4 linked regions of the Callithrix jacchus genome follow. The protein of the gene in region 2 purifies or fractionates together with the protein of the main gene of each other region. This does not show direct contact. Links are inferred from orthologs where the notes say so. Each region holds a gene or a part of one and is shown on either strand. Other genes may lie near its edges.

Evidence for each region. Proteins that work in one complex are often made in the same cells at the same time.
Region 1: the proteins of SNRPD3 (region 2) and SF3A2 purify together in Homo sapiens (affinity purification with mass spectrometry; 4 studies listed by BioGRID and IntAct, with this or other methods). This does not show direct contact. The link is inferred for Callithrix jacchus from reciprocal best matches to the Homo sapiens genes SNRPD3 and SF3A2.
Region 3: the proteins of SNRPD3 (region 2) and MEPCE purify together in Homo sapiens (affinity purification with mass spectrometry; 3 studies listed by BioGRID and IntAct, with this or other methods). This does not show direct contact. The link is inferred for Callithrix jacchus from reciprocal best matches to the Homo sapiens genes SNRPD3 and MEPCE.
Region 4: the proteins of SNRPD3 (region 2) and SNRPA purify together in Homo sapiens (affinity purification with mass spectrometry; 3 studies listed by BioGRID and IntAct, with this or other methods). This does not show direct contact. The link is inferred for Callithrix jacchus from reciprocal best matches to the Homo sapiens genes SNRPD3 and SNRPA.

The regions. Positions count from the first base shown.
Region 1 is NC_133523.1:2,122,194-2,129,408, forward strand, and holds part of SF3A2 (splicing factor 3A subunit 2), read left to right. Parts: intron 1-2,741; exon of another isoform or gene 2,742-2,879; intron 2,880-4,001; 5' UTR 4,002-4,038; coding exon 4,039-4,164; intron 4,165-5,161; coding exon 5,162-5,233; intron 5,234-5,593; coding exon 5,594-5,640; intron 5,641-6,283; coding exon 6,284-6,393; intron 6,394-7,215. UniProt on the Homo sapiens protein: Component of the 17S U2 SnRNP complex of the spliceosome, a large ribonucleoprotein complex that removes introns from transcribed pre-mRNAs.
Region 2 is NC_133502.1:195,103,966-195,111,702, forward strand, and holds the start of SNRPD3 (small nuclear ribonucleoprotein Sm D3), read left to right. Parts: upstream 1-3,740; 5' UTR 3,741-3,836; intron 3,837-4,022; exon of another isoform or gene 4,023-4,097; intron 4,098-5,952; 5' UTR 5,953-5,968; coding exon 5,969-6,094; intron 6,095-7,737. Other genes in the region: protein GUCD1, read right to left, coding at 2,355-2,608. UniProt on the Homo sapiens protein: Plays a role in pre-mRNA splicing as a core component of the spliceosomal U1, U2, U4 and U5 small nuclear ribonucleoproteins (snRNPs), the building blocks of the spliceosome.
Region 3 is NC_133503.1:13,291,821-13,298,358, forward strand, and holds the end of MEPCE (7SK snRNA methylphosphate capping enzyme), read right to left. Parts: 5' UTR 6,027-6,538; coding exon 4,389-6,026; intron 3,157-4,388; coding exon 2,938-3,156; intron 2,766-2,937; coding exon 2,639-2,765; intron 2,535-2,638; coding exon 2,482-2,534; 3' UTR 1,932-2,481; downstream 1-1,931. Other genes in the region: PPP1R35 (protein phosphatase 1 regulatory subunit 35), read left to right, coding at 77-293, 377-513, 609-782. UniProt on the Homo sapiens protein: S-adenosyl-L-methionine-dependent methyltransferase that adds a methylphosphate cap at the 5'-end of 7SK snRNA (7SK RNA), leading to stabilize it.
Region 4 is NC_133523.1:36,297,870-36,305,084, forward strand, and holds part of SNRPA (U1 small nuclear ribonucleoprotein A), read left to right. Parts: intron 1-2,089; coding exon 2,090-2,262; intron 2,263-3,150; coding exon 3,151-3,330; intron 3,331-6,990; coding exon 6,991-7,164; intron 7,165-7,215. UniProt on the Homo sapiens protein: Component of the spliceosomal U1 snRNP, which is essential for recognition of the pre-mRNA 5' splice-site and the subsequent assembly of the spliceosome. U1 snRNP is the first snRNP to interact with pre-mRNA.

The sequences.
Region 1 (7,215 bases), on a different chromosome or scaffold from region 2:
ATGAGGTCAGGAGATAGAGCTCCTCTCGCTGTAACACAGTGAAACCCCGTCTCTACTAAAAATATGAAAAATTAGCCAGGCATGGTGGCACACGCCTGTAGTCCCGGTTAATCGGGAGGCTGAGGCATGAGAATTGCTTGAATCCAGGAGGCAGAGGTTACAGTGAGCCCAGATCATGCCACTGCACTCCAGCCTGAGTTCCTTTTCCAGGTCCGTCCAGCTATTGGGTCATTAGAACATTCTGGAAGTGTCACTACAATGTGATGGCTTAATAAGTATATGAGGGTACATCCATCTGTGGCTTAGTGTGGCCCCCTGCAGCTGTCCTGGCCCAGAAGCCGGGCCCCCTTTTCCTGCATGGAGGAGCAAAGCGCAGGTCACTCCCGTGACTGAGCTCCGTTCCTCCTGGGCCCTGGGGCCTCCGAAGGCACATCCTGCCCTCTGCTCTTCTCTCTGCCAGCAGCCCCTGGCACTGGCCATGAGGATGCCATGGCAGTGTGGGGGAGAGCGCAGGCTTGGGGGTAGAGACCAATGATGGCTCTGCAGAGCTCAGCCTCAGGATGGCGGCGTGGTCCAGGGGAGGCCACGGCCAGGGACAGCGGGGCGTTCTCATGCTGCCGAATTCCTTCCTCATGAAGGGGGCAGGCCATCTTCCTGGAGGCTGCAGTGCCTGATGAATCACAGAGGTCTGGGGTGTGCCTCCCAGCACCGGCCCCTCCTGGGTTCTTGGGGTACATCTTCGAAAGAAGAAGGCCGATTCCCTGCCTTCCCGCACGGTCCCCGGCGGGGGCTTCTGGGTGCTGAGATGAATGGAGGACTGGTTTTGTGTGTGGAGACGCAGGTGCCTCCTTGGCCTGGTGGGACGCTGCTCGCTGGGCTCCCCACACTCATCCCTGATGGGAGTTTCATGCCCCTTGACCAGGAGGTGCTTAAATGTCCTCCAGAGAGAAATTAGGCCCGTCACGAATCTGTCCAGGTGGTGCCCACTAATCCCGCCCGGCCCACGGGCCAGTCAGAGACAGAGCCTCCCAGGCCACCCTGAGCTGGCGCCGCAGCAGGGATGGCGGTGTTGGACTGGCCTGCGGCTGACGGCCCCAGCGCCGGCGCTGATGGGGTGCAGTTCCCCCGGTCCTGAAGAACGCGTGGCCGAGAAGCCCCAGGCAGGGAGGGTCCTGTGGGCCAGAGGGTGGCGTTCCCGGCAGAGGACAGTCCTTCTGGTGCCACCGTCTCCTTTTTCCCATTGGAATGTTGTCTGTGAAGGGATAGCGATGGTCACGATGGTGGTTTCTTGACGTTTACGTGACAATATGTGAAAATGGGCGTCTCCAGGGGGGCTTTCGTGGCGTCTGAACTTGTCACTGTGATGCTGCAGTGAGCTCGGCAGCCTGTCCCACCGGTTACCACACTGGATCGTTGTCATAAACTAACTGGGTGGGAGGGTCCTGGGCCCCCACAGCTGAGGAGTGACCTCAGGTCCCACCGCAGGTCAGCAGCCCGTCCCACCGGTTACCACACTGGATCGTTGTCATAAACTAACTGGGTGGGAGGGTCCTGGGCCCCCACAGCTGAGGAGTGACCTCAGGTCCCACCGCAGGTCAGCAGCCCGTCCCACCGGTTACCACACTGGATCGTTGTCATAAACTAACTGGGTGGGAGGGTCCTGGGCCCCCACAGCTGAGGAGTGACCTCAGGTCCCACCGCAGGTCAGCAGCCCGTCCCACCGGTTACCACACTGGATCGTTGTCATAAACTAACTGGGTGGGAGGGTCCTGGGCCCCCACAGCTGAGGAGTGACCTCAGGTCCCACCGCAGGTCAGCAGCCCGTCCCACCGGTTACCACACTGGATCGTTGTCATAAACTAACTGGGTGGGAGGGTCCTGGGCCCCCACAGCTGAGGAGTGACCTCAGGTCCCACCGCAGGTCAGCAGCCCGTCCCACCGGTTACCACACTGGATCGTTGTCATAAACTAACTGGGTGGGAGGGTCCTGGGCCCCCACAGCTGAGGAGTGACCTCAGGTCCCACCGCAGGTCAGCAGCCCGTCCCACCGGTTACCACACTGGATCGTTGTCATAAACTAACTGGGTGGGAGGGTCCTGGGCCCCCACAGCTGAGGAGTGACCTCAGCTCCCACCGCAGGTCAGCAGCCCGTCCCACCGGTTACCACACTGGATCGTTGTCATAAACTAACTGGGTGGGAGGGTCCTGGGCCCCCACAGCTGAGGAGTGACCTCAGGTCCCACCGCAGGTCAGCAGCCCGTCCCACCGGTTACCACACTGGATCGTTGTCATAAACTAACTGGGTGGGAGGGTCCTGGGCCCCCACAGCTGAGGAGTGACCTCAGGTCCCACCGCAGGTCAGCAGCCCGTCCCACCGGTTACCACACTGGATCGTTGTCATAAACTAACTGGGTGGGAGGGTCCTGGGCCCCCACAGCTGAGGAGTGACCTCAGGTCCCACCGCAGGTCAGCAGCCCGTCCCACCGGTTACCACACTGGATCGTTGTCATAAACTAACTGGGTGGGAGGGTCCTGGGCCCCCACAGCTGAGGAGTGACCTCAGGTCCCACCGCAGGTCAGCAGCCCGTCCCACCGGTTACCACACTGGATCGTTGTCATAAACTAACTGGGTGGGAGGGTCCTGGGCCCCCACAGCTGAGGAGTGACCTCAGGTCCCACCGCAGGTCAGCAGCCCGTCCCACCGGTTACCACACTGGATCGTTGTCATAAACTAACTGGGTGGGAGGGTCCTGGGCCCCCACAGCTGAGGAGTGACCTCAGGTCCCACCGCAGGTCAGCAGCACAGCTGGCCTGTACCTCAGCGTGCTCCTGCACACCTGCGGCCGCTGTGGCAGATCACCGAAGACGCGGCAGTTCAGGTGACGTGGCTGCATCCGCTTCTGGATCTGGGGCTGGAAGTGCAAACAGTCCCTGAGGCTCCATCCCTTCTGTTAGCGGAACTCTTCCCGCCTTTCCCCTCGTCCTCCCTGTTCACAGCACAGCACAGCCTCTCTGTCCCCCAGCCTCCCCCTCCTCTCGGGAGGATGCTGAAAGGATCACCCGTTGTTTTAAGATCCTCAGGCCCACCTGCGCTTCCCTTTCCTGCCGTGTGAGGGTTCGCAGGGCCCAGGGGTTCGCATGTGGACGGACGTCTTTGGGGGCCATGAATGATTCACTCGGTCTCCTGAGCTCACCCAGGGCCTTTAAACCAGGGCCCGGGGCAGGTGTTGAAGGGGCAGGGAAAAGCGTCAGGAGAGGAGGGGAAGCTGCCTGGAGCTTGGGTCTGCCTGGAGCCTGAGGGTGTGGAGCAGCGGCAGAGGGCTGCGGCGGGAAGCGGGTGTTTGGGACTCAGGAGAGCCCTCCTGCGCCACAGGCAGATGTGGCTGATCTCCCGGTGTTACCCAGTGAGGACCGGAAGATCCACGTCTCCCTCTCTGCCCAGAAAATTCACAGCCGATTCCGAGAGATAGAACTCAGGTTGGGACAAGTAAGCGTAGCCAACCCTAGAGGGAGTTGAGAGGAAGGTGTGAACACTGGGGGCTCGGGCAGTCCCGATGGCTTCCTGGAGGTGGTGACTCGGTGGTGAGAATTTGGCCGCCTCTTCCCTGGTTGTGCCTTCTCTGACTCCCTGTCGCCATTTCAGGTCTCCAGGCCTTGGCACCGTGGGCTGGAGTGGCTTCCCCTCCACCCTCCTGCACGGTCAAGAGGCAGGCTCCAGCTTCCTCATGTCTGTGCCCGGCCCACAGTGGGCCCTGGCACCCTGGAAGAGAGTCAGTGCACTAGCAGGTGGCCCCTCAGGGCTGGTGAGACCCTGGCGCTGGGAGTGCAGGGTGAGGAGCAGTCTTGCTGGCCCCAACCTGACTGCCCGGCCCTGGGGTGGCAGCAGCAGCCCCGAGTTCTAGCCGTCCTTCTCAGTCTCCTCTTGGCCTCCACAGGCTGGGTGCCCCAGGAGGTCCCAGCAGCAGCCCCGCCTTCTCAGCCGTCTTCACACTCCTCCACAGGTGTCTCCCAGTCTGCTGAAGCCCGGAGGCCGTCACCATGGACTTCCAGCATCGCCCTGGGGGCAAGACCGGGAGCGGGGGCGTGGCCTCCTCCTCCGAGAGCAACCGTGACCGCAGGGAGCGCCTCCGGCAGCTGGCCCTGGAGACCATCGACATCAACAAGGTGGGCGGCCGGCTGGGCAGGGCGATGCAGCCGCAGCTCCCATCCAGCCACGCCAGGCAGCAGACCCTCTGTGGCTCTGAGCCCCGGGTGGAAATGGTGGGCTCTGTGCAAAGCCTTGTTGGGCATCATCCAGTTTGTGGAAATGGGGGGAGCTGATGTCGGTCCAGTCAGATGCAGTGAAGGCTCTGGTTTTACCTTGTGCAGAGGTGGGGTGGGCCGGGTCCCCCTCAGCACTGTGGACGTCGGGGCTGCAGCACTGGGCTGGGGCCGTCCCGGGCACTGTAGGGTGCCAAGCAGCATCCCTTCCCCCACTGGCTCCGTGCCAGGAGCTCCCCCCATCGGGACAAACACAGATGTCCCCAGACACCGCCCAGGCCCCTGTGAGGGTGGATCCCAGCCGAGACCCTGCCAGCGTGCGCTTCCTTAGGTTTGGATGCCACCAGGACCCACCAGTGCCGTGTTCCCTGACATGCCCCACGGGCCTGGCCTGCAGCATAGGCTCTGTGACGTTCCTTGTCTTCCAGATGAGATCACGGTGGAGGGGTGCCAGGCCGCAGGGGGTGGAGTTAGGGTTTGAACTCCAGGGTCTGAGACGAGAAGTGTGTGCCTGCCTGCCCCAGTTCAGGGCCCGTGGATGCGCGTGGCCTTCCATGTCACCCATTGCTTTTCTCATCCCTGCGTCTGCCTTGTGCTGACCCCTGGCCTGGTGGCGTGGACAGCGGACGGCTCCTTGCATCAGAGTGACAGGCGCTGCTGTCCTGGCTCTGCCTCTCTGCCTCAGAACCACCAGGAAGGTGGTGCCAGGGCTCCCTGGGAACCCACTGCTCAAAGCCTAGGCCACAGCCCCAGGTGGCCACACGCGTGCTCACGAGGCCCCTCGCCAGATCCATCAGGGACAGCCAGGCCTCCACAGAAAGGGGGTCCCACCTCTGAGGGCCCCGACCGCAGGGCAGGCCATTATCTTCTGTCTAACGGGGTACCTGTTCTTCCCTTCCAGGACCCGTATTTCATGAAAAACCACCTGGGCTCCTATGAATGCAAGCTCTGCCTAACGCTTCACAACAACGAGGTGCGGCCCGTGCTGTCCCCTCGGCCTCGAGTCACGCGTGTTTCCTGCCCCGTGTCTGTCCCCTCAGCCTCGAGTCACGCGTGTTTCCTGCCCCGTGTCTGTCCCCTCGGCCTCGAGTCACGCGTGTTTCCTGCCCCGTGTCTGTCCCCTCGGCCTCGAGTCACGCGTGTTTCCTGCCCCGTGTCTTGCCCCCTCGGCCTCGAGTCACGCGTGTTTCCTGCCCCATGTCTTGCCCCCTCGGCCTCGAGTCACGCGTGTTTCCTGCCCCGTGTCTGTCCCCTCGGCCTTGAGTCACGCGTGTTTCCTGCCCCGTGTCTGTCCCCTCGGCCTCGAGTCACATGTGTTTCCTTTCCACTCCAGGGGAGCTACCTGGCACATACCCAGGGGAAGAAGCACCAGACCAACTTGTGAGTACCTCGCCCGCGTCTCACCGGCTGCTCCAGCAGCCCGTCTCCATGAGCCCCCGGGCCACGGCTCCACAGCGTGGAAACCAGCCTGGCCTGGGCCTGAATGGGCGCTGGAGTAAGGTCTCTGGGGAGCATTAGGGAACATAGGCTGTATTGCTGAGGTGGGTGGATCACCTGAGGTCAGGAGTTCGAGACCAGCCTGGCCGACATGGTGAAGTTCCATCTCTACTAAACATAGAAAACTCAGCTTGGCACAGCAGTGCACACCTGTAATTCCAGCTACTCTGGAGGCTGAGGCAGGAGAATCTTGAACCTGGGAGGCGGAGGTTGCAGTGAACCAAGAGGGTGCCATTACACTCCAGCCTGGGCAACAAGAGTGAAACTCTGTCTCAAAAAAAAAGAGAAGAGCAGAGGCGTGGGGTTGTGGGAAGGGCCCCAGGCAGGGACAGTGCAGCGTGACAGGAAGAGAACATCCCTGTCCCACCCCTGTCCTGGTCCAAACCCCAGGGCCCCTCCCCGGCCCCTGGCCCTCCTCATCCCTTGGTGTGTAGTGAGCTCTGAGGTCGGGGCTACCAGTCCCTGGGCCCGTGTCCCTGGTGCCTGTGCGTGGAGGGCCCCAGCACCATGTCCATCCTGCCCGCAGGGCCCGGCGAGCCGCCAAGGAGGCCAAGGAGGCCCCCGCCCAGCCTGCACCTGAGAAGGTCAAGGTTGAGGTGAAGAAGTTTGTGAAGATCGGCCGCCCCGGCTACAAGGGTGAGTCTGCCGCCTCGTGAATGGGTTTGGGCTCCGGCACGGAAGCCACAGCCCTGAGACCCCGTCCCCGAGCTGCTGTTTGATGGCCTTGGCGGCCATCCTTCACCCGCCTGCAGCGTCTGGCGCTGTGTCTGGGAGCTGTCAGGCTGGACGCGATAAGCACCCATCTCACCCAGTGGCCCCTTCCCCAGCAGAGCCCCAGTCTGTGCCCTCCTTGCCTGGCCGCCTCTGTGCCTGGGGCTCCTGGTATGTGAGTGGCGGCCCCTCTGTGCCTCGCAGTCCAGTGTTGTAGAAGCTTCTGGGAATTCTTGCCAAGCAAGAGTGGAAGTGGGGGTGTGGCGAGCCTGACGCCTCTCTCCCGTTAACCTTGAAACTGGGTTCCACTCGTCTTAGCCTCGGAAGGAAGAGGACGGGGAGCAGCGGCTGTTAGGGGCGGCTCCGTCTGGGACCCTCAGCAGTGGAAATGGTTGCCAGTTCAGAAAGCTGCGATGGAAGATAGAGACGTGTGTCCGCGGGGGGGCGGGAAGGCGGGAAGGCGGGGACGCCCCGTGTGCCCGGCCTCCCGACAGCAGCGTGTAGGGCAGAGGCCCGGGGCAGGTGCGCTGGATGGCGAGGGCAGGTGCAGCTTGAGCTGCAGGCCCCGGCCGGGAGGCCCTGACAGGTCCTGGGCTTGGGCTCAGGGCAGTGGGGAGGCAGGGGGCTTGTGAGTGTGCATGCCGGACACTGCGTGGAGAGAGCCAGGTGGCCTGGCAGGGACTCAGCCCCCACCCCAGCAGCCGTTCCTGGGGTCCAGGCGGCTGAGCGCTCACCCCACACACGTGT
Region 2 (7,737 bases):
GGCCTGAAAAAATAAATTTACTAAGCACTCACTGTGTGCTAGGCTCTGGGGACACAAAGGTGACTAAAGACCCACCCAAGCCCTGGCCCCTGGGGACTCATATTCTGAAATAATTGCCCTCAGAGTTGAGCAATGGGGGAGCTCTACACAGGATGTTGTGCTGTCACAGTGAGTGCCTGCCTGTTCAAGAACCCCTCACAGCAGCCACACACTGCCTTTTGGTTTTTCTCCCCACGCTGTTTCCTCCCCAGCTTTTGCTCCCGCACATCTCTTAATCTAGGGGTGTCCAATCTTTAGGCTTCCCTGGGCCACACATAAACTACACTAACACTAATGATAGCTGATGAGCTTTAAAAAAATTGCAGAAAAAATCTCATAATGTTTTAATAAAGTTTACGAATTTGTGGGCTGGTGCAGTGGCTCACAACTGTAATCCCAGCAATTTGGGAGGCCAAGACGGGCGGATCACAAGGTCAGGAGATCAAGATCATCCTGGCTTACACAGTGAAACCCCATCTCTAGTAAAAATACAAAAAATTAGCCGGGTTTGGTGGTGTGTGCCTGTAGTTTCAGTTACTCAGGAAACTGAGACAGGAGACTCACTTGAACCTGGGAGGCACAGGCTGCAGTGAGCTGAGATTGTGCCACTGCACTACAGACTGGGTGACAGAGCGAGACTCCATTCTCAAAAAAAAGAAAAGAAAAAGTTAGTTTATGAATTTGTGTTGGGCCATATTTAAAGCTGTCCTGGGTCACAAGCTGCAGGCTGGACAAGCTTGCCTTACTCTGAAATGTTAATGTTGTCTCCATCCCTCTCACTCTCAGGACCCCTCAATACGGAGTCCTTAAAGAGACATCTGCTTTCCCCTATTGAACAAAAGGAGAATTCTTCAGTGGCAGATGGGGATGAGGTTGCATTTGCCTCTTCCCAGCCCTCGGCCCAGGGCAGGCACTCAGATATACTTGGGGAATGGAAGGCATTTTCCAAAAAGACCTCATACCTTGAGATGCCCAGGCCGACTTGTCACTTCAGTGTTCCACACCCCAGGCTTCCAGACTACAGCCCTCTGTGTGAGGGTCCCTCCTTACTCTGTGGCTTGGGCTGTGACACTGACTAGCTGGGCTATCTTCTGCAAGGCTGTGACTCTGCCCATGCCTTCCTGTGTTCAGTTGTAAAATATGGCACAGGACAGCAGCTCTCCAGGGTCCTCAGAAATTCAGCTGCCCCTCCTCCTCTTGCCCTGCTCTAGAATTCCTTGATCCAGAGGCCCAGCAGCCCCCACATGGCCATCTCCAGTCTTGGCAAAGGCGGATCAGACCTAGAGATGCTCATGTTGGGGGTGATAAGGTTAGGCGAGGCCTTGGCATTTGTCCCCATAACAGCTTTAGCCCACAGCCAGATGTTGATGCCTGGAGCCAAGGGGCTGCCTGGAAGGCCCTGGCCTGACTTTAGTGGTTGTCACTTAGGAAGACATGTAGTGCACTAGCCTTGAATACTTAACCCATCTCAGACTCAGTCTGCTCAGATGCAAAAATGCACATCCTAGTGGGCACCTACTTCAATGAGTCGTTATGAGGATTAACGAGGCATTGCATGTAAACAACTGCCTCAGAAAGCTCCCTGCGAATGTGAGCCATTCCTCCTCTGAAGCTCAGGAAAGACAAGCACCTTGTCTAAGATCACAGGGTTAGATAACTGCAGGAGGAGGAATGTAAATCCCCTACTCCAAACAGCAAACACAAAAGAAAACTCCCTGGGAGTGACACCTGAAGGTCAGGGTCCCACATGCTGTTGACCTCTTCCACAGTTGGCACTTCACCTGAGTTTACTAGCTAGCGCTCCGTTTCTCAACAGCCCTGCCCTTAAGCAGGACAGGAATCACGTCTTCCTCCTCCCCTACTTCTTGGGCAAGCAAACTAACCGCCAAGGCACTGAATACAAGTCCGGGTCTCCGCCCCAAAGGGGCTCAGGCTACCGCGTGGCAGAGGGAACCAGAGGGCGAAGAACAGGAGCAAGACAAAACGCTGAGTCTGGGAGGCCAGGACACCGGCCCTTCCATTGCTCGGTGCTCTCGGCCAGTTCCCTGCCCTTCTCAGCCTGTCTTCCACGGTTCCCCAAGGTACAGAAGCTCCCAAGGCGGCTCCAGCAGGACTTTTCGCTTCTGGGGAAGGTGGCGCCCCTGCTACCCGGACCCTCCCACCATGCTGACAAGGGTCGCAATCCTGCGAGTGTAGGGAAACCCCCACTGACTGGAGCGAGAAGGGTGTGGGGGCGAGGCGGGACCCTGCCCCGCACTAGGGCGGAGTCCCCCTCGTTCCCAGGGTGAGGACTGGGCCCACAGAGAGGCACTGACCGGGCTCGAGCGGTGGCCCCGCTGCCTCCGCCTCCGTCCTCATGACCCGGGCGGCGCGGGGCGCCCATGGCCCCAGCCCAGAGCGGGCTACAGCTTCCGCTTCGGCTGGGGCGGGAGGGCGGCCGGTGCGTCTCCAGTTCCTCCGCCGCCACCGCCGCCGATGCGGTGGGGAGAACTGGAGGCGGCGGCTGGGCCTCCCCAAGGCCCGCCCCGGCCCTTCTAGTTCGCGAATCTAAAGGCCCCGCCCCTTCCATAAGCCCCGCCCCAAACTTTGATTCTAGACGCCCCCAGTCTCTCGATTTAAGCCCGCCCCGGCCATTTGCCGCTTCTGCGTCGGGTGGCCCCGCCCCGTCGCCCAATCCTCGCGTAGACGCGCTGCCCACCAGGACACGGGCCCCGGAAGCCCCACCCCTTTCCTTGAGGCCCGCCCCGAAGCTCGTGCACTTAGTGCAGATGCTTCCTAGAGGTTCGTCTCTTCAGCAAACTCCGCCTCTGCCGTGACCCGCTCCTTTGCAGCCTTAGGTGTAAGCACCGGTCCCGCCCAATGCATTGCCGAAGCGCCAAACAACTCTCTTTTTATTTTTTTATTTTTATTTTATTTTATTTTTTGAGACGGAGTTTCGCTCTTGTTACCCAGGCTGGAGTGCAATGGCGCGATCTCGGCTCACCGCAACCTCCGCCTCCTGGGTTCATGCAATTCTCCTGCCTCAGCCTCCCGAGAACCTGGGATTACAGGCACACACCACCATGCCCAGCTAATTTTTTGTATTTTTAATAGAGACGGGGTTTCACCATGGTGACCAGGATGGTCTCGATCTCTTGACCTCGTGATCCACCCGCCTCGGCCTCCCAAAGTGCTGAGATTATAGGCATGAGCCACCGCGCCCGGCCACAACTCTCTTTCAACTGCCTTTAGGGATGATCCTGAGCCGGCCGCCGCCCTACTCTATACCTAATTTTATCCGTACGAGATACCTCGCCCCGCTCAGGGCGCCCCTTACCTAGCGGTGCCGGGATCAAAAAATTAAATTGTGAGGGGGAAGTCCTGGCCCTTGGCCCAACCTCCTGCTGCCCCGGGTCTGACGGCCCAGGCCCCGGGTCTGACGGCCCAGGCCCCGGGTTTCCGCCTTGCAGTCCAGCCTGTCCTTGGTGTGGGGTGCTTGGAAGTGCGAGCACCCTCTGCGGCTCGTTGCCGGCCCAAGGGTCGTTGTTTCCGGCGGCCCTCGGGCCCAGTTATCAGCCGTCTCTTCTGGTGCCGGAACTATCGTAGCGGTGCCCTAGTTTCCCAGCCGGCGGGCGCAGCGAAGAGGAAGCGGAGACGAGACCGCACTTACCAATGGGGAAAGGAAGGAGGTGGGCCCTGCGCGCTGCATTTTGGGAACGATTGGAATTCTGGGAGCTGGGCCCGCCATTCGCTGAACTCACGCCTTAGCCGTAGACTCATTTGCCGCCGCACCGAAGAGGAGAAGGAGGCCGGAGCTGGTGAGGCTGGGGACGGGCAAGGGGGGGTCGAGGGGCCACTCGCTGCATGGAACTCTGCGGGGCTCGGGGAGGGAAGAAAGCGGGAAGCTTGGGCCACCCAGACATCAGCGAGCATCGCCTCACTAGCGCCTAGAAGTAAGTTCATTAGCTTCAGCGTGCATGCTTTCACTTTTTGTATCTCTCCAGGTCAGTGTTTTTCAGAGCTTCCAGGCAGTAATCTTGAAGTCATTTCTGGTTGACTGTCTCCTTTCCCCAAATCCTGTGAGTGCTTTTTTCTGTTTATTTTTTCTTTTTGTTTTGGAGTAGTGATGGGTTTCACCATGTCGCCCTTACTAGTCTTGAACTCCTGGGCTCAAGGGATCTACCGGCCTCGGCCTTCCAAAGTGGTGGGATTATAGGTGTGAGCCACCGCGCCCGGCCGATCATTCTTTTAAAAGTTACTTGCATCTCTGCCTCCAGCCCCCTTTCAGGTAGTGGTCCCCTCATGGTTTCCACACTGTTGCAGAAGTTTTAACAAGTTTCTCTGCTTCTAAACCTTACATTCTATCCATTTTATAAATAAATGCTGCCACTTTTTTTTTTTATTCAAAAAAAATTTTTTTTCTTTTAAAGACGGGTTTTCACCATATTGGTCAGGCTGGTCTTGAACTCCTGACCTCAGGTGATCCGCCCGCCTCAGCCTCCCAAAGTGCTAGGATTACAGGTGTGAGCCACTGCGCCCGGCAGTGCTGCTGCTTTTTTCATTACGTCATTCTTTACTTAAAATCGTGCAGTGGTTCCCCACTATTTTCAGTATAAAATGTAGACTCCTAAAGCTGAAAGCAAGGGATCCTCACCAAAGGAACCTGTTTCTTCAACCTCACGTTCTCCTCTGTTAAGTGCACTTACGTTCCAACTTTGAGTCGTTGCTTATCTCAATAAAAAGTTCACTGCTTGATTCTTTTTTTTTTTTAAAGACGGGCTTTCACCATGTTGGTCAGGCTGGTCTTGAACTCCCGACCTCAGGTGATCCGCTCGCCTTGGCCTCCAAAGTGCTGGGATTACAGGCTTGAGCTACCACGCCTGGCTGCTTGATTCTTTTAATTAGGTCAAATCAGGTGATTTCCCTGATTTTCCTCCATGACAAGCATTTCCTGAATAGAGCATATTGTCACTTTGATATTTCCTCATCTTTGATGGTAAAGTAAGTGAGGGGTTAAAGGGCTGAATTAAAAGTGCAGCCCCCTCTCCTAGGTGTTCATGGGTCCTTTGGTCTGTATCTGCACCTTCCATAGGGGAGCCACTAGCTACATATGGCCATTGAGCACTTGGAATATGGCCACTGGGATTGAGACTGGGTTTTTTATTTTAATTTTATTTTGTTTTAAGTAAGTTTAATTTAAATAGCTACATGTGGACATGAGCTGTATTGGACAGCTCAGGCCTATATAATTTTCAAAATGTAATCATGTACAATTACGGTTGACAATAACAATGCAACAAATAACATTCTAACCCCCACTCCGCAACACGAACAGTATTCGCTAATGGTCATTTAGATGAAGATTAAGGGACATAGGGTAGTAGGGACATGTGGTTGATGGGAGAGGCTCTCTTTTCATTTCTATTTTTATCTCTGTCCAGCCCACCATTCCTTCTCACCCCACATCTTGCACATATTTGCCAGATAGTTTCCTCCAAGCCAGGAGCTGAGTTGTTTTTGTTTTGTTTTATTTTATTTTGTTTTTGTTTTTGTAGAAAATGTAGCTTTGGGCCGGGCGCAATGCTCACGCCTGTAATCCCAACACTTGGGAGACCAAGATGGGTGGATCACGAGATCAGGAGATTGAGACCATCCTGGCTAACACGGTGAAACCCCATACTAAAAAAGTAGCCTGACTTGGTGGGGCAGGAGAATCTCTTGAACCCTTGAGGCAGAGGTTGTGGTAAGCCTAGATTGTGCCACTGCACTCCAGCCTTGGCAACAGAGAGAGACTCTGGCTCAAAAAAAAAAAAAAATTCAGTTTTGGCATTTTTGCTAAGTTTTATGGAGGGCTAGGCCTTGAAGGAAGCACAGTATGTGCTGCATGCCTTCTCAGTCTCTGAATGATGAACTGACTGTTGCCTCTCTCATTAGAACTCTTCCTGCCAAGATGTCTATTGGTGTGCCGATTAAAGTACTGCATGAGGCCGAGGGACACATTGTGACATGCGAAACGAACACCGGCGAGGTATATCGTGGGAAGCTCATTGAGGCAGAGGACAACATGAACTGCCAGGTATCCTGCTTTGCACATGAGGCTATGTGGGAGGAATGGACCTGTGTCTCAGAGGAACGGAAAGGTGTGGGTTGGGGGTCTTTGAAAAAAAATTGTTCTCATTCAGCAATGATTTTCTTTTGTTTGTTTGTTTTTTATTATTTTTATTTTTCTTATTATTTTGTTGTTGTTATTTTTCAGCAATGATTTTCTGAGTGCCTAATGCATGCCAGGCACTGTTGTTACAGGCTCTGGGAATGTGGGCATGAACAAGGCACAGTCTTGAGGCAGGAAAGCCATTGGAGGTTTGGAATATTTTACTTTGTCCTTTTTGTTTTTTCCATCCCCAGAGTTGGGGGCCTATTTGAGGGAAGTGCTACTTCAGTAGAATTCTTCAGATTCAGAGCCATTATCCATTTGCCTTCACTTGCCTTGTGGTTAGCAGAATCTTCTCCCATACTGTATTTGTTTCCCTTTTCTCTTGGAGGGAGAATCTCATTTGATTATTGCAACTACCTTGTGAGGTAAGCAGGTTTGGTGATAGTCTTGACATCCATAAAATAGGGAGAGTGAGATTAAAGGACTCATCACTGATAATAAATAATGGAGTAGTTTCCTGATATGGTGTCCTTCTCATGGCACAACTTGGCCTTTTGCATAGTCATCTGAATTTTTTTTTTTTTTTGAGACAGTTTCGCTCTTGTTACCCAGGCTGGAGTACAATGGTGCGATCTCGGCTCACTGCAACCTCCGCCTCCTGGGTTCAGGCAATTCTCCTGCCTCAGCCTCCTGAGTAGCTGGGATTACAGGCACACACCACCATGCCCAGCTAATTTTCTGTATTTTTAGTAGAGACGGGGTTTCACCATGTTGACCAGGATGGTCTCGATCTTTTGACCTCGTGATCCACCCACCTCGGCCTCCCAAAGTGCTGGGATTACAGGCGTGAGCCACAGCGCCCGGCCCCCGTCATCTGAATTTTTAGAGTATTGTTTTTCAATTATATCTTTACACTTTCTTTGTTTAAACTGTTGGTTAAAAACTTGGGCTTGGGAGTCAGAGATGTGAGTTTGAATCCTAATTATACGACCTTAGATGTATTAACCACTCAGTTTTCTCATCTGTAAAATGGGGGTGATACTATTTTGGGTTCTTTGATATGGATGCCAAGACAGAAATATGCGAGGTATTTATTGGGAGAAATGACAATAAAGGAGCAAGGAAATAGTAGTAGGTAGGGAAATTTTCAGTCTATGATGCTGGTCTGGCTGGTGAAAAGAGAGGCGAAAGGAAGGAGGATTGAGCAGGAAGAGCCTTAGACTACAGCGTAGTTTTGAGGAAGTCTCAGCAAAGCAGCGATTGCTCATTAGAAGAGTCTAGCATGGGGCAGAAATGAGTGGACTCCTACCCCTGGTGTGTTCAGTTTATTGGCTGGCAGCCTGGGGAGAGAGTAGCCTCAGGTTGGATAAGATGGAGACTGCTGGCTTCCTGCACTCCTAATACCCTGTTCTCTTTTGAAGGGAGATCTGATTAGCACATCCCTAAGACTGCCACAGGAGTAATATCTACACCTCCAGGACTTTTAGAAAGATCAGATGAGTTATATGTGTGCAGTAGCTAGCTCAGTGTCTCACATATTGTGTTTAACATATGGTACCTACTGC
Region 3 (6,538 bases), on a different chromosome or scaffold from region 2:
GTGAGCGAGGGAGGCTGGCCCACGGCCCGCGATGGCCCCGCGCCCACCTGGTCACCGCCCTGCCCTTTGCTCCCAGGTCCGTTTCCGCCTGGCACCACCTTCCCCGGTGCGGTCCGAGCCGCAGCCCGCGGCGTCGCAGGAGCTGGAGATGCCCGCGCTGCAGAGCAGCCTGGCCTTGGGTCTGGAGCTGAGAGCCGCAGCCGGGAGTCACTTTGATGCCGCGAAAGCCGTGGAGGAACAGCTGAGAAAGTCGTTCCAGATCCGCTGCGGCCTGGAGGAGAGCGTGTCTGAGGGTGAGGGGGGCGGGCGGCAGGCCGCGCGCGCGGGAGTCAGGGCGAGGGGGCACCGCTCACCTCTGTCCCCGCTGCGCTCTCAGGGCTGAACGTGCCGCGCTCCAGGAGGCTCTTCCGAGACCTGGTGAGCCTGCAGGTGCCGGAGGAACAGGTTCTGAACGCCGCGCTCAGGGAGAAATTGGCTCTCCTGCCGCCGCAGGCTCGAGCCCCGCCCCCGAAGGTGATGCGATCTGGGCGTGGGGCTTCCTCCATGTACCCTCTTCCCCGGATCCTTTCTCCCAGTGTAACCTTGCTTTGGGCCCCACCTCCCAACAGGAACCACCTGGGCCGGGGCCAGACATGACCATCTTGTGTGACCCAGAAACACTATTTTATGAATCTCCACACCTGACCCTGGACGGTCTGCCCCCTCTCCGGCTTCAACTCCGGCCCCGCCCTTCAGAGGACACGTTCCTCATGCACCGGACACTGAGGCGATGGGAAGCATAGACCCCGACGATCCTTGGCGGGCTAGTTCGTATTTTTGTGTTAAACTATTTGTCAGAATAAAGTAATTTTGCTAATAAATGGGACTCTTCTTGGAGGCCTAAAATCTCTCTAGGGGGTTTGTCCACTTAGCCTCAGGTTGGAAGCTGCCTGAAGTTGAGTTTGGAGGCTTTTTAGGAACTTGGTGGAGTCATGGCAAATAGAAAACTGTCCACGTTAGAGGTTTAGATGCCCCTCAGTTCACAACCTTACCCACCTCTCCCTGACTTCAGCCACAGCTAATGCCTGTTTTATATCAGGCAATTGTTCTCTGTACCACTCATTCTGATCTGTGGAAATGCAGGGCCTAGCCTATCACAATTCACGAAGGCGTTCTCTGATAACCTGTCTCAGGAGCCTGCAAGCCCGCTGCTTGCACTGAGTTACTAACTTATCTCCTTTTCACCTTTAAGGGCCTTGCCTATCCTGTTGCACCTGAGTAAAGTTCCAAGTTCCAGTGACACCTGACAAGCCCCTGAAGAGCTTCATGTTAATTGCCTATAAATCTGATTCCACAGCACCAAAAAGGTGTCTGGTCTATCTATGAGTATTTGATCCAAAGCACTTTTTCCTACCTCCATTGACAAGTTAGCCTTCTGGCCGGGCGAGGTGGCTTCCGCCTGTAAGCACTTTGGGAAGTTGAGGTGGGCGGATCACCTGAGGTCAGGAGTTTGAGACCAACCTAGCCATCATGGTGAAACCCCAACTCTACTAAAAATACAAAAAATTAGCTGGGCTTGTGGCCTGTAATCCCAGCTACTCCAGAGCCTGAGGCAGGAGAACTGCTTGAACCTGGAAGGCGCAGGTTACAGTGAGCTGAGATCGCACACCCCAGCCTGGGTAACAAAGTGAAACTCCATCTCAGGAAAACAAAAATCAGAGTTAGCCTTCTGCCCAAGGCCCTCACAGGGCTTTTTTGGGGAGAGAAGGCAGACTCCAAGTTACACACCAAAATTTGCATTACATACTTTGCCTTTCTAGGCTTCTGTGTACTTTTGTGTGGACTTGGCTAGCATGCAACAATCAACCCAGCCACTGAAAAATTGTCTTCCTTGAGACGGAAGAGGAAGCACCACGTCTTCCCCACCAGCTATAAAATACCCAACACAAGTGTGGGGGCCACTGCCCTAGACATCAAGTTTATTGTGCTGTTCTCACATTCAAAACCCAACCCCCTCTCCCACTGGGGGACAGCAGAGGGAAAGATTTTCACAGTACCTTCGTGCCTCCCTACCAGGCTTCCCCCTCTAACCTTCAGTCCACCTATCCATGGTCCACTGAAATGCAGCTAGGGAAAAGGGCTGAGATATGGGAATCTCTCTCCTTGGGAGAATAGGAGGAAAGGGCTAGAGAATTTTATATCCTTCCACCTCCCATGCCCTAGGAGAACAGAGGTCAGCAAACAGTCCATGCCATCCAGCCTGGCAGGCTGTGGGAGAGGAAGATGGGGACTCCAGCACAGCCAGCCTTGCTGCACAAGTGTCAGAGGCGTAGGGAGGAGGCTGAGGCAGCGGCAGCGACGGAAGAAAAGCTTTCTTTGCAGATCCAAGAAGAAAACTATTTTTGGAGTCAGAAAGGAAAGACCTTGGGACGCTTTCCTCTTCCCCCAGGTCCTTATGAGCAGCGAAGGCAGCCTCTTCACACTTTCTGTTCAAGGGGCCACTTAGTGGCTGGGGGATCGGGCCTTGTGGAACAGGTACACAGGACGCTGGAAGCCTGAGGGGAGAGACAGTGATCAGAAGGGGTTGGCAGCACCTCCCCATGGGATCTGAACTCTATCAGTCAGGACAAGCCTTCCCAACAAAATAAACCAGCCTTACCTTTAGAGGTGTTGTGGGGTGTGGCTACAAGCTCATAGCTGGAGAAGCCCACTTCTGGGGATGTCAGGTAGGAACTGAACTGCTCTGGCTTCAGCTGGATTCGGTAGTAGTTCTTGTAGATTGTTTCCTAAGGAGAGAAGCAAAGGACCACTTTAGCATGCTGGCCACCTCCCATGGCCAAGAGTGATGCCCAGCCGGAGGGCCTTTTCACCTTGTTCAGAAATTCCTTCTCTATTCCCTGAGGCCTTTTCTTGCCTCAACCAAAGGATTATTCCCCATTTCCATCACATCCAACTCACCGTAAGGGTCTTTCTCTTGCCATAGGATGACCAGGGTTGGGGCTCTAGGACCAGGATGCCCCCAGGCCGTAAGTGCCGGTAGATCCGGCGAAACATGCGCTTCAGGCCCTCATCTCCCCAGTTCAGATGCACCCACTTGGTTAGGCTAAGGCAGAGCACCACATCATACTCAGGTGTTTGGGCTTCCACCAGGTCATCTCGATCCAGCACGTAATTACCCTGGGGGCAGGAATCGGCAGTGAGGTCAACAGAGGGAATCAAAGAACCCCTGCTTCCAGGCAACCTGCCCTGAGGCCGACACACAGTCCTGTAGCCTCACTTTAGCCCATGGTCATATTCTTCTCAGACTAACTCCCAAAAGGGGCCCTCTTTGAGTTTTGTTTTCTCCTCTACACCTTCCTGGCCTCTGCTTCTTCCTACTGGTGTAAGCCAAAAAACGTCTAGAGGGAGCCTGGGTAATTTTAAATGGTGCAAATTATCCATGAAGTCTTCCAAAGCTGAGGTCCCAGGACCCTATCCCGTGCTTATTCTCACCCACAGACTTTAGGTGGAATGACTGCAATTAGTTGCAAGGATAACTAACTAACCCAGGTTTCAAACCACAGGCAGACCTGTGGTTCCTTCTCTGCAGTTGGGGTTGGCAAAGTTTCAGGCCTATTCTTTGCTTCCTCTGAGAGATATGAAGAGCCACATCCTTCAGGAAACCTTTTCTAGAAGATAAGCTCATCACAGCCCTCTAGAAAGACCATTCTTCAGGCTTAACCCAACACAATGCCAAAGATCCCAGCAGACGGCCTAACTGGGATGTTTTCCGAGAGCTGTGTGCAGTCAGGGGACACTGTGGTGGGCATGGGACTCTCCTCTCTGTGTAGTTTCTGGCTCTTCCCTCTCCTACTATCTAGGGTCAGTGTGGAGAGGATCTACAGCCAAGCCACTTGGGTTCCTGACACTCTTCAACAAACTGTCTAGGAAAACAAAAGCTGTTGATGAGAACAAGGTCTCTATCAATGGGCAGAAATGCCAGTATTAGTCTGCCGCTACCCTAATCTCCCCAGAAGACATTCCATGCCTGACTCCCATTCTCAGGCTTCTTCAGTAAATCTGAGGACCAAGTTCCAGCTGGATTGAATCCCCTAGTGAGCAGTAACAGCAGCCTTAAAGGGAAGGTGGACCAGTGTGGATTATAGGCCAAGCCAGGAGCTGGGCAAAAAAAGTCCTCCTCTATTTTGGAGACCCTTGAGGTCATGAGAAAGGACTCCAGGGTCAAGGCCCCAAGGTAGAGAGATCACCTTTCCGGGTTATAAAAGGGAAGAGATGCCCAGCAGAGGCTCTCACTTGCCAACCCAGACCCCCCTTTTAAAGGATCTGGGTCATAACCTTCCCTGCTACATTCCCAGTTAATCTCATCTTCACACTTGGCCCCTATTCCAAGAGCCTCTGGACCCTCTTACCGTGACGAAGACAACATTGTTGGGGAAGACTGATGTGTCCGCTCCATCCAAGGGCACTTGGGGGGCAGCGATGGGGCCCCGGCTGGCAGTCAGCGAGGCTGGGAAGCAGCTCCTCTTTCGGACAGTGGTGGTCCCTTCCTCACCCTCTGCCCCTGGGTCCCCTTCCAAAGTCTGGCGTGGGAGACGCAGCTCCTCAGACAGGTAGTGTCGGATGTTTTGGCGGGCAGAATGGATGAGGCGGGAATCTATATCTAGGCCCACCATACGGGACGGGCCCCACTTGCAGGCAATGCTCAGGGTCAGATGGCCCACATTGCAGCCGAGGTCTAGGACGTCCCGGCCCCGAAACCACTCAGGCTTCAACACCCGAAGGCGCCCATCCTCACAGGAAGGATTGCGATACCCATAGTACTTGCAATAATTCCCATACTGGAACTTGCGCTGTTGCTTTTTGAAGCCTGCTGCAGGCAGTGGGTGCTGGTGGTGGCGACCTCCCCAACTCCCTCGGCCCTTTTCCTTGGAACCCTGGCCTCCACCCCTAGCCCCTGCCTCCGACTTGCTGGAAGTCCTGCGACGTTTGCGATGTCGGGAGGAGGAAGACGGGGGTGCAGAGGTAAATGAGGCAGCTGGAGGGGCTGATAGGGAGCCTGAGGGACCCTGCAGAGCAGATGGAAGGGGAGACACCACTTCATCCCTGCAGTTAATGGCTGTGTTGAGTTCATAGGGTTGGGGGGCATCCCGGTTCTGGCCCCTGTGCCGCGGGTGCTGTGTGGTGCCCTCCCCGTGGAGTGAGGGGGTGAGAGGGGCTGTGGGCGGCACCGGGTGGGTCTCACTCCCTCCGGCTGCCTGCTGCTGCTGGTGGTGCTGTCCCCGGTGTCTATGCCGCTTCCGACCAGTCTTGAGTGGCGAAGCAAGAACTACATGGCCCTCATCAGTGCAAGTATTGAGGCTGAGCGGGTCAGTAATATCTTTGGGGATGAGGATCTCCACTGGATCTCGCCCTTTGGCCGGAAGGGGGGATGACTTAGGGGTCTCCGCGTTGAGGGCGCGGCTCACTTCCTCATCCAGGAGACTATTCAGGTTCAGGGGATCAAAGATATTGCCCCCCAGGAGGAAGTTGGAGGGTAACACAGAGTCACAGTCCGAATTCACTCGCCTGCGCCTCTTGAAGGCCGGATGTTTGAAACCTCCTCCGCCTCCCCCTACATTACAGCTATTTCTCCTCTTGCCCCCGCCTCCCCCAGGTGGCCGGTGGGGCTGATAGCCATTGCGGGGTCGAGGGGGGGCAGGGGGACCCAGCTCTGTCCCGCCCCCTCCCCGGCGCTCCTCCCCCACGTCCGGAGGAGCGGCTCGCCCCGAGGGATCCGACAGGCGGGCCTCTCCGTGCGACTGCGCCTGGGGGCCGCCCCGGGGATTGGCCGCGGCCCCGGGGCTCTCCCTGCCGACCCCAAAGGCCGGGGACCCCGCAGACGGCGCGCGAGGACCCGGCCCACGCTCCGTCCCGCAGCGGAGCTCCCTGGAGGCGGCTTCTTGGTGCGGTGGCACCGTGGGGCCGCCCCCTCCGCCAGACTCATCTTTGAGCGGCGGCGGCGGGGCCGGCACCAAAAACGGCTCCTTCTCCGCGGCCATCTCGATCATTTCCTCCCCTTATTCCGTCCCAGTCGGGGCAACAAGGGGGATCAAGGGGCTTAATACCCCCCGCCTGGACCCCGCTCTCTTCCCCCTTTCCCGAGTGCGCGCGCAGCTCTGCTCTTCTCGCCTAGTCTCGCGCCCAAGCGCCTCCCCCGAAGCGCGCCCCACTCGCCCGCGAGACCAAAACAAGATGCCCGCGAGACCCGAACAACTCGAGGACTCAACCGCGCGTGCGCCGACCCCTTTCTCCTCCGCCACTACCACCCGGTCGCGAGCGCTAGCGCGCGTTCCCCTGGCCCCGGAATCACGCATGCGCACTCTGCCACCACCTTGGTTGCGCGCGCATCGGAGTACGAACCAACTTAACGGCTCTGGGAGTTTAAATATAACCACCCCCACAGCCCCCGCAAAAGCCCACCACCCCAAACTGAGACCCTACTTCCCTGCGCAGCTATGTCCGGCCCTACTGATCTCCTTTGTCTCTGCCGTGCGATCCCACCCACCGTAGGCGGGGGACA
Region 4 (7,215 bases), on a different chromosome or scaffold from region 2:
AGCAATTCTCCTGCCTCAGCCTCCTGAGTAGCTGGGATTGCAGGTGCCCTCCACCACACCTGGCTAATTTTTTGTTGTTTTGTAGTTTTAGTTGAGACAGGGTTTTACCATGTTGGCCAGGCTGGTCTTGAACTCCTGACCTCAAGTGATAGGCCTTCCAAAGTGTTAGAATTCCAGATGTGAGCCACCACACCTGGCCAGGATTTTTTTGGGGGAGGGGGCGGTCAAAGACAGAGTCTCACTATTGTTAAGGCTGGAGTGTAGGGGTGCGATCATGGCTCACTGCAACCGCTGCCTCCCAGGCTAGAGTGAGCCTTCCACTTCAGCCTCCCAAGTAGCTGTGACCACAAGACATGCACCAACATGCCTGGCTAATTTTTGTATCTTTTGTAAAGATGGGGTTTTGCCATATTGCCCAGGCTGGTCTTGAACTCCTGAGTGCAAAGTATCTGCCTGTCTCAGCCTCCCAAAGTGCTGGGATTACAGGTGCGAGTCACCATGCTTGGCCATCTCAGCCATCTTCTTTGCATGAGACATTGTTAGCCTTTGCAGACCTGGGTGGTGAGAGGGAGACCATCCTTGTTGAGCTGAAACCCACTTGGTGTTAAGTGAAACCCTTTGCTGGTGAGAGATGGGCAGTACTGGGTTCAGATGGAGTATGTGGACTGGGTTTGCCATGCCCTTCCTTGTGCCCTCTAGATACTCGCCCTGCACCGGTGAGGCATTTTCTGAGAACCTGTTCCCATCTGAGTAAAGCTGGGACAGTCATAGTTGCCACCTCATGCGGTTGTTGTGAGGAAGTGAAGTAGTCTGTAAGGCATTTGATGGAGATGTGGTGACTCCACGCCTATAATCCCAGCAGTTTGGGAAGCCAAGGCAGGAGGATCACTGGAGCCCAGGAGTTCGAGATCAACCTGAGCAACATAGGAGACCGTGTCTACAAAAAATAAGAAATTAGCCATGTGTGCTGTTGCATACATGTAGTCCCAGCTCCTGTGGAGGCTGAGGTGGGAAGATTGCTCAAGCCTGCAGTAAGCTATCATCATGCCACTGAACTCCATCCTGGGCAATAGAATGATACCCTGTCTTTAAAAAAAAAAACGCTTTATGGTATCCTTTTTTTTTTTTTTTTTTTGAGGCAGAGTTTTGCTCTTGTTACCCAGGCTGGAGTGCAATGGCGTGATCTCGGCTCACCGCAACCTCCACCTCCTGGGTTCAGGGAACTCTCCTGAGCCTCAGCCTCCTCAGTAGCTGGGATTACAGGCACACACCACCATGCCCAGCTAATTTTTTGTATTTTTAGTAGAGACGGGGTTTCACCATGTTGACCAGGATGTTCTCGATCTCTTGACCTCGTGATCCACCCGCCTCGGCCTCCCAAAGTGCTGGGATTACAGGCATGAGCCACCGTGCCCGGCCGATGGTATCTTAAGTCAAATATTTGTAGCCATCCCAGTTAATGTTTCATGACAGGAGGCAGGAAATAGCCACGAAAGAACAGGACGTAGAGTAAGAGTGACATGGGAAGACATTTAGAAATGTGGTCAGAGGTGGCAACATTTCCTCTGAGACCTGGGTGACTAGAAGGAGGCCGCCATGTAAACCTCAGGGGAGGGATTTTCAGATAAAGGGAGCAGCCAGTGCAAAGGCCCTGGGGCAGAATTGGTGTCTCAGGCCTGGGGGCCAGTGTGGTTGGGGATCGAGGTGGAACGTGGATAGGGATGATGAGGTGGGGGAAATTTGCCAGGTTCATGTCATGCAGTCCTGTGTCAGGGTGCTGGTGGCAATGAAAAGAATCACTCATATCTGTTGAGCGTTTACTATGTGCCAGATGCTGTTCTGAGCACTTTGCATGTATGTCCACATGTTTGTTACATAGCAGCTCTCTGGGGTGGGTACTATTACTGTCCAAATCTTACAGAAGCGTATACTTGGCCAGTTGAGTGGTTCCTGGCTGCTTCTGTGATTATTAGGTCTTCAGAGATTGTGGACTCGAGGCATTCTGGGTACCCCGTGAATTGGCTGGTGGTCTTCCATCTTGCTGCACTTCTGAAAGGGGGGCTCAAGGTCTTCTCTTTCATCACTGCAGAGCTAAAGAAGTCCCTGTACGCCATCTTCTCCCAGTTTGGGCAGATCCTGGATATCCTGGTGTCACGGAGCCTGAAGATGAGGGGCCAGGCCTTTGTCATCTTCAAGGAGGTCAGCAGTGCCACCAACGCCCTGCGCTCCATGCAGGGCTTCCCCTTCTATGACAAGCCCATGGTGAGTATTGTGGGTATGGAGGCAGGGTGTGGGTGTGGGTGTGTGAAATGTTATAGGAGACTGGGTGGGCCTGGAGTAGAGGAGGGGATATGAGGGTTAATTGGCCAAGGTGAGGCTGGACCAAGCTCCACTGCACCTTGCCTCATTTCAATAACAAATTTTTGTTTGGCTGGGCACCGTGGCTCATGCCTGTAATTCCAGCACTTTTTTGGGGGGGGTGGGGGGATGTTGTTTTGCTATTGTTGCCCAGGCTGGAGTGCAATGGCATGATCTCGGCTCACTGCAACCTTCACTTCCCAAGTTCAAGTGATTCTCCTGCCTCAGCCTTCCAAGTAGCTGGGATTACAGGTGTGTGCCATCACACCTGGCTAATTTTTTTAATTTTTAGTTCAGAGAGGGTTTCTCCAAGTTGGTTAGTTTGGTCTTGATTACAGGTATGTGCCACCATACCTGGCTAATTTTTTTTTATTTTTAGTAGAGACAGGGTTTCTCCATGTTAGTCAGGCTGGTCTTGAACTCCCGACCTCAGGTGATCCGCCTGCACCTCAGCCTGTCAAAGTGTTACCGTTGTGAGCCACCATTGCCTGGCTTTTTTTTTTTTTGAGACAGTCTTGCTCTGTTGCCCAGGCTGGAGTGCAGTGGTGTGATCTCGGCTCACTGCAACCTCCTGGGTTCAAGTTATTCTCCTACCTCAGTCTCCTGAGTAGCTGGGAATACAGGTGTATACCACCATGCCCAGCTAATTTTTGTATTTTGGATGGAAATGGGATTTTGCCATGTTGGTCAAACTGGTCTCGACCTCCTGGCCCCTGATAAGGTCCAATTTTGAATCTTGGCAATTGGGCTCTGAATCCATGCCCTTAACCCATTCTGCTCTCTGTTTGGTAGCGTATCCAGTATGCCAAGACCGACTCAGATATCATTGCCAAGATGAAAGGCACCTTTGTGGAGCGGGATCGCAAGCGGGAGAAGAGAAAGCCCAAGAGCCAGGAGACACCAGCTGCCAAGAAGGCTGTGCAGGGCGGGGCAGCTGCCCCCGTGGTGGGAGCTGTGCAGGGGCCTGTCCCGGTAAGCCAGGGCCAGCAGACCAACCCTCCTACTGACAGGCTTTCCTTAGCCACATGGACTGGCTTTGGGACAGGGTGGGGAGAGTTCTCCCCGTGGGGCTTCAGACCCCTCCTTTCCATTCCCTTATAGAGATTATGTGTCCGTCTCTCTTTGGGGGGTGTTGAGCCCCTAGATGATACTATCTCCACTCAGAACGCCTGTGTTGAGCCCCTAGATGATACTATCTCCACTCAGAACGCCTGTTCCCGTGTGACTGTTTCTCAGTGTCTTTCTTTCTTCCTGGCTACGTCTTGGTATCGCTGTCTCCTTGGCCTTGATTTTGTTGCCTGTGTCTTTTTGTTGTTGTTGAGATGGAGTCTCACTCTGTTGCCCAGGCTGTAGTGCAGTGGCGTGATCTCAGCTCACTGCAACCGCCACCTCAGGTTTAAGCAGTTCTCCTGCCTCAGGCTCCCAAGTAGCTGGGAGTACAGGCATGTGCCACCACACCTGACTAATTTTTATATTTTTAGTAGAGATGGGGTTTAACCGTATTGGCCAGGCTGGTCTTGAACTCCTGACCTCTTGATCTGCTCGCCTTGGCCTCCCAAAGTGCTGGGATTACAGGGATGAGCCATCATGCTCATCCTGTCTTTTAAGTCATTGTGCATGTAGAAAATCCAAGTATCTACTAAGCAACTGTTAAGATTGGTTTAGAAAGGTCACTGGGTATAAGGGCAATGTGGAAAAAATCAGTTTTATTACGTATTTATTAATTATTATTATTTTGAGACGGAGTTTCGGTCCTACTGCTCAAGCTGGAGTACAGTGGCATGATTTTGGCTCACTGCAACCTCAGCCTCCTAGGTTCAAGTGATTCTCCTGCCTCAGCCTCCCTAGTAAGTAAGTGGGACAACTGGTGGGTGCCACCATGCCATGCTAATTTTTTGTTTTTTTGTTTGTTTTTTTAGTAGAGACAGGGTTTCACCATGTTTGCCAGGCTGGTCTTGAACTCCTGGCCTCAAGTGATCTGCCCACCTCAGCTTCCCGAAGTGCTGGGATTACAGGCTTGAGCCACTGCACCTGGCCCTCACACAATGAAGTTTCTAGAAGAAAACAGGAAAATGTCTTCATGACCTTGGTGAGGGCATGAAAAGTGGAAACATCCTGTTTTCTAAACAGAATACAAAGAGCACTAAGTACAAAAGAAAAGATGGACAAGGCCGGGCATGGTGGCTCACACTTGTAATCCCAGCACTTTGGGAGGCCGAGGCGGTTGGATCACGAGGTCAGGAGTTCAAGACCAGCCTGGCCGACACAGTGAAACCCCATCTCTACTAAAAATACAAAAATTAACTGGCATGATGGCAGGCACCTGTAATCCCAGCTACTTGGGAGGGTGAAGCAGGAGAATTGCTTGAACCCAGGAGGTGGGGGTTGCAGTGAGCCAAGATCACACCACTGCACTCCAGCCTGGACAACAAAGCAAGACTCTGTCTCAAAAAAAAAAAAAGAAAGAAAGAAAGAAAAGATAGACGAACCGGGCCCACTCCTTGGGTCTCTGATCCTCTGTGTCTCTCTGGCTTTTGTCTGTGGCTCTGGCTCTGACTGAGTTGTGCTCTGTTCACTGCCACTCACACTTTCTCCACGTCACCTATGGCGTCCGATTACTGTGGGCTCCTGTTGTTAACCTCTCTCTGCAGTCTTCACTGCACGCAGCTTTCTGTCCACTTTCCACTTCAGATTGTGACTCCAGCCCCTGTCTGTGCTGCCTGCCATCTGCGGTCTTCCCTCTTCCCCTGGCTGCCATGCGTTTCGTTCTGCACCTGCCCTGAGTGTCCCTTGCCATCTCTGCCCTCATTTGTATTTGTTTATATTTTTTGGGACAGATTCTTACTCTGTCGCCCAGGCTGGAGGGCAGTGGTACAGTCTGGGCTCACTGCAACTTCTCCCAGGTTCAAGCAGTTCTCCTCCCTCAGCCTCTCTAGTAGCTGGGATTACAGGTGCCTACCACCAGACCCAGCTAAAATTTGTATTTTTAGTAGGGAGCGGGTAGCACCGTGTTGCCCAGGCTGGTCTCAAACTGCTGGGATCATAGGTGTGAGCCCCCGCGCCCGGCCTACCACACGTTTCTTCCTGCCCCTTCCCTGACTGCCCCTTTCCATCTCCGCCCCTTCCCCGACTGCCCCTTTCCATCTCCGCCCCTTCCCCGACTGCCCCTTTCCATCTCCGCCCCTTCCCCGACTGCCCCTTTCCATCTCCGCCCCTTCCCCGACTGCCCCTTTCCATCTCTGCCCCTTCCCCGACTGCCCCTTTCCATCTCCGCCCCTTCCCCGACTGCCCCTTTCCATCTCCGCCCCTTCCCCGACTGCCCCTTTCCATCTCCGCCCCTTCCCCGACTGCCCCTTTCCATCTCCGCCCCTTCCCCGACTGTACCTTTCCATCTCCGCCCCTTCCCCGACTGCCCCTTTCCATCTCCGCCCCTTCCCCGACTGCCCCTTTCCATCTCTGCCCCTTCCCCGACTGCCCCTTTCCATCTCTGCCCCTTCCCCGACTGCCCCTTTCCATCTCTGCCCCTTCCCCGACTGCCCCTTTCCATCTCTGCCCCTTCCCCGACTGTACCTTTCCATCTCTGCCCCTTCCCCGACTGCCCCTTTCCATCTCTGCCCCTTCCCCGACTGCCCCTTTCCATCTCTGCCCCTTCCCCGACTGCCCCTTTCCATCTCTGCCCCTTCCCCGACTGCCCCTTTCCATCTCTGCCCCTTCCCTGACTGCCCCTTTCCATCTCTGCCCCTTCCCCGACTGCCCCTTTCCATCTCTGCCCCTTCCCCGACTGCCCCTTTCCATCTCTGCCCCTTCCCTGACTGTCCCTTTCCATCTCTGCCCCTTCCCCGACTGCCCCTTTCCATCTCTGCCCCTTCCCTGACTGTCCCTTTCCATCTCTGCCCCTTCCCTGACTGTCCCTTTCCATCTCTGCCTTCCTTTGATTTGGGGCTTTTGTGTTGTTGTTGTTTGTTCTGTTTTGCTTTTGAGACAGACTCTCACTCTGTCACCCAGGCTGGAGTGCAGTGGCACAATCTCTGCTCACTGCTACCTCCGCCTCCCAAGTTCAAGCGATTCCCCTGCCTCATCCTCCTGAGTGGCTGGGGCTACAGGCGCACACCACCATGCCCAGCTAATTTTTTGTATTTTAGCAGAGACAGGGTTTTACCATGTTGGCCAGGATGGTAAAACCTCTATCTCCTGACCATGTGATCCACATGTCTTGGTCTCCCAAAATATTGGGATTACAGGTGTGAGTCACTGCGCCCGGCCTGCTTTTGTTTTATAAGAGATAGTGTCTCGCTCTGCTTCCTAGGCTGGAGTGCTATGGCACAATCATGGCTCACTGCACGCGGTCTTGACCTCCCAGGTTCAAGCGATCCTCCCACCTCAGCCTCCTAAATAGTTGGGACTATAGGGGTATGCCACTGCCCCTGGGGAGTTTTTAAGTTAGCTCTTTCTGATTTAATGTGCCACTAGACCCTCAGTTGGTTTTGCTGTGTCTGGCCCTCTCTGGGTGCCTTTTTCGCCTCTTTCTGGATGTTTTTCCTTGCATTGCTCACCTGCTGGGTTTCCTCTCCTGGCCTCTTCTCTGCCTCCTGGGGAGGCCGTAACCACGGACTCTCCTTCCTCTCCCCACAGGGCATGCCACCAATGACTCAGGCACCGCGAATCATGCACCACATGCCGGGCCAGCCACCCTACATGCCGCCCCCTGGCATGATCCCCCCTCCAGGCCTTGCACCTGGCCAGATCCCACCAGGGGCCATGCCCCCACAGCAGCTCATGCCGGGACAGATGCCCCCTGCGCAGCCTGTGAGTATCTAGTCCCGTCCCCACTCCACCAGGTCTCATATAAATAGAATA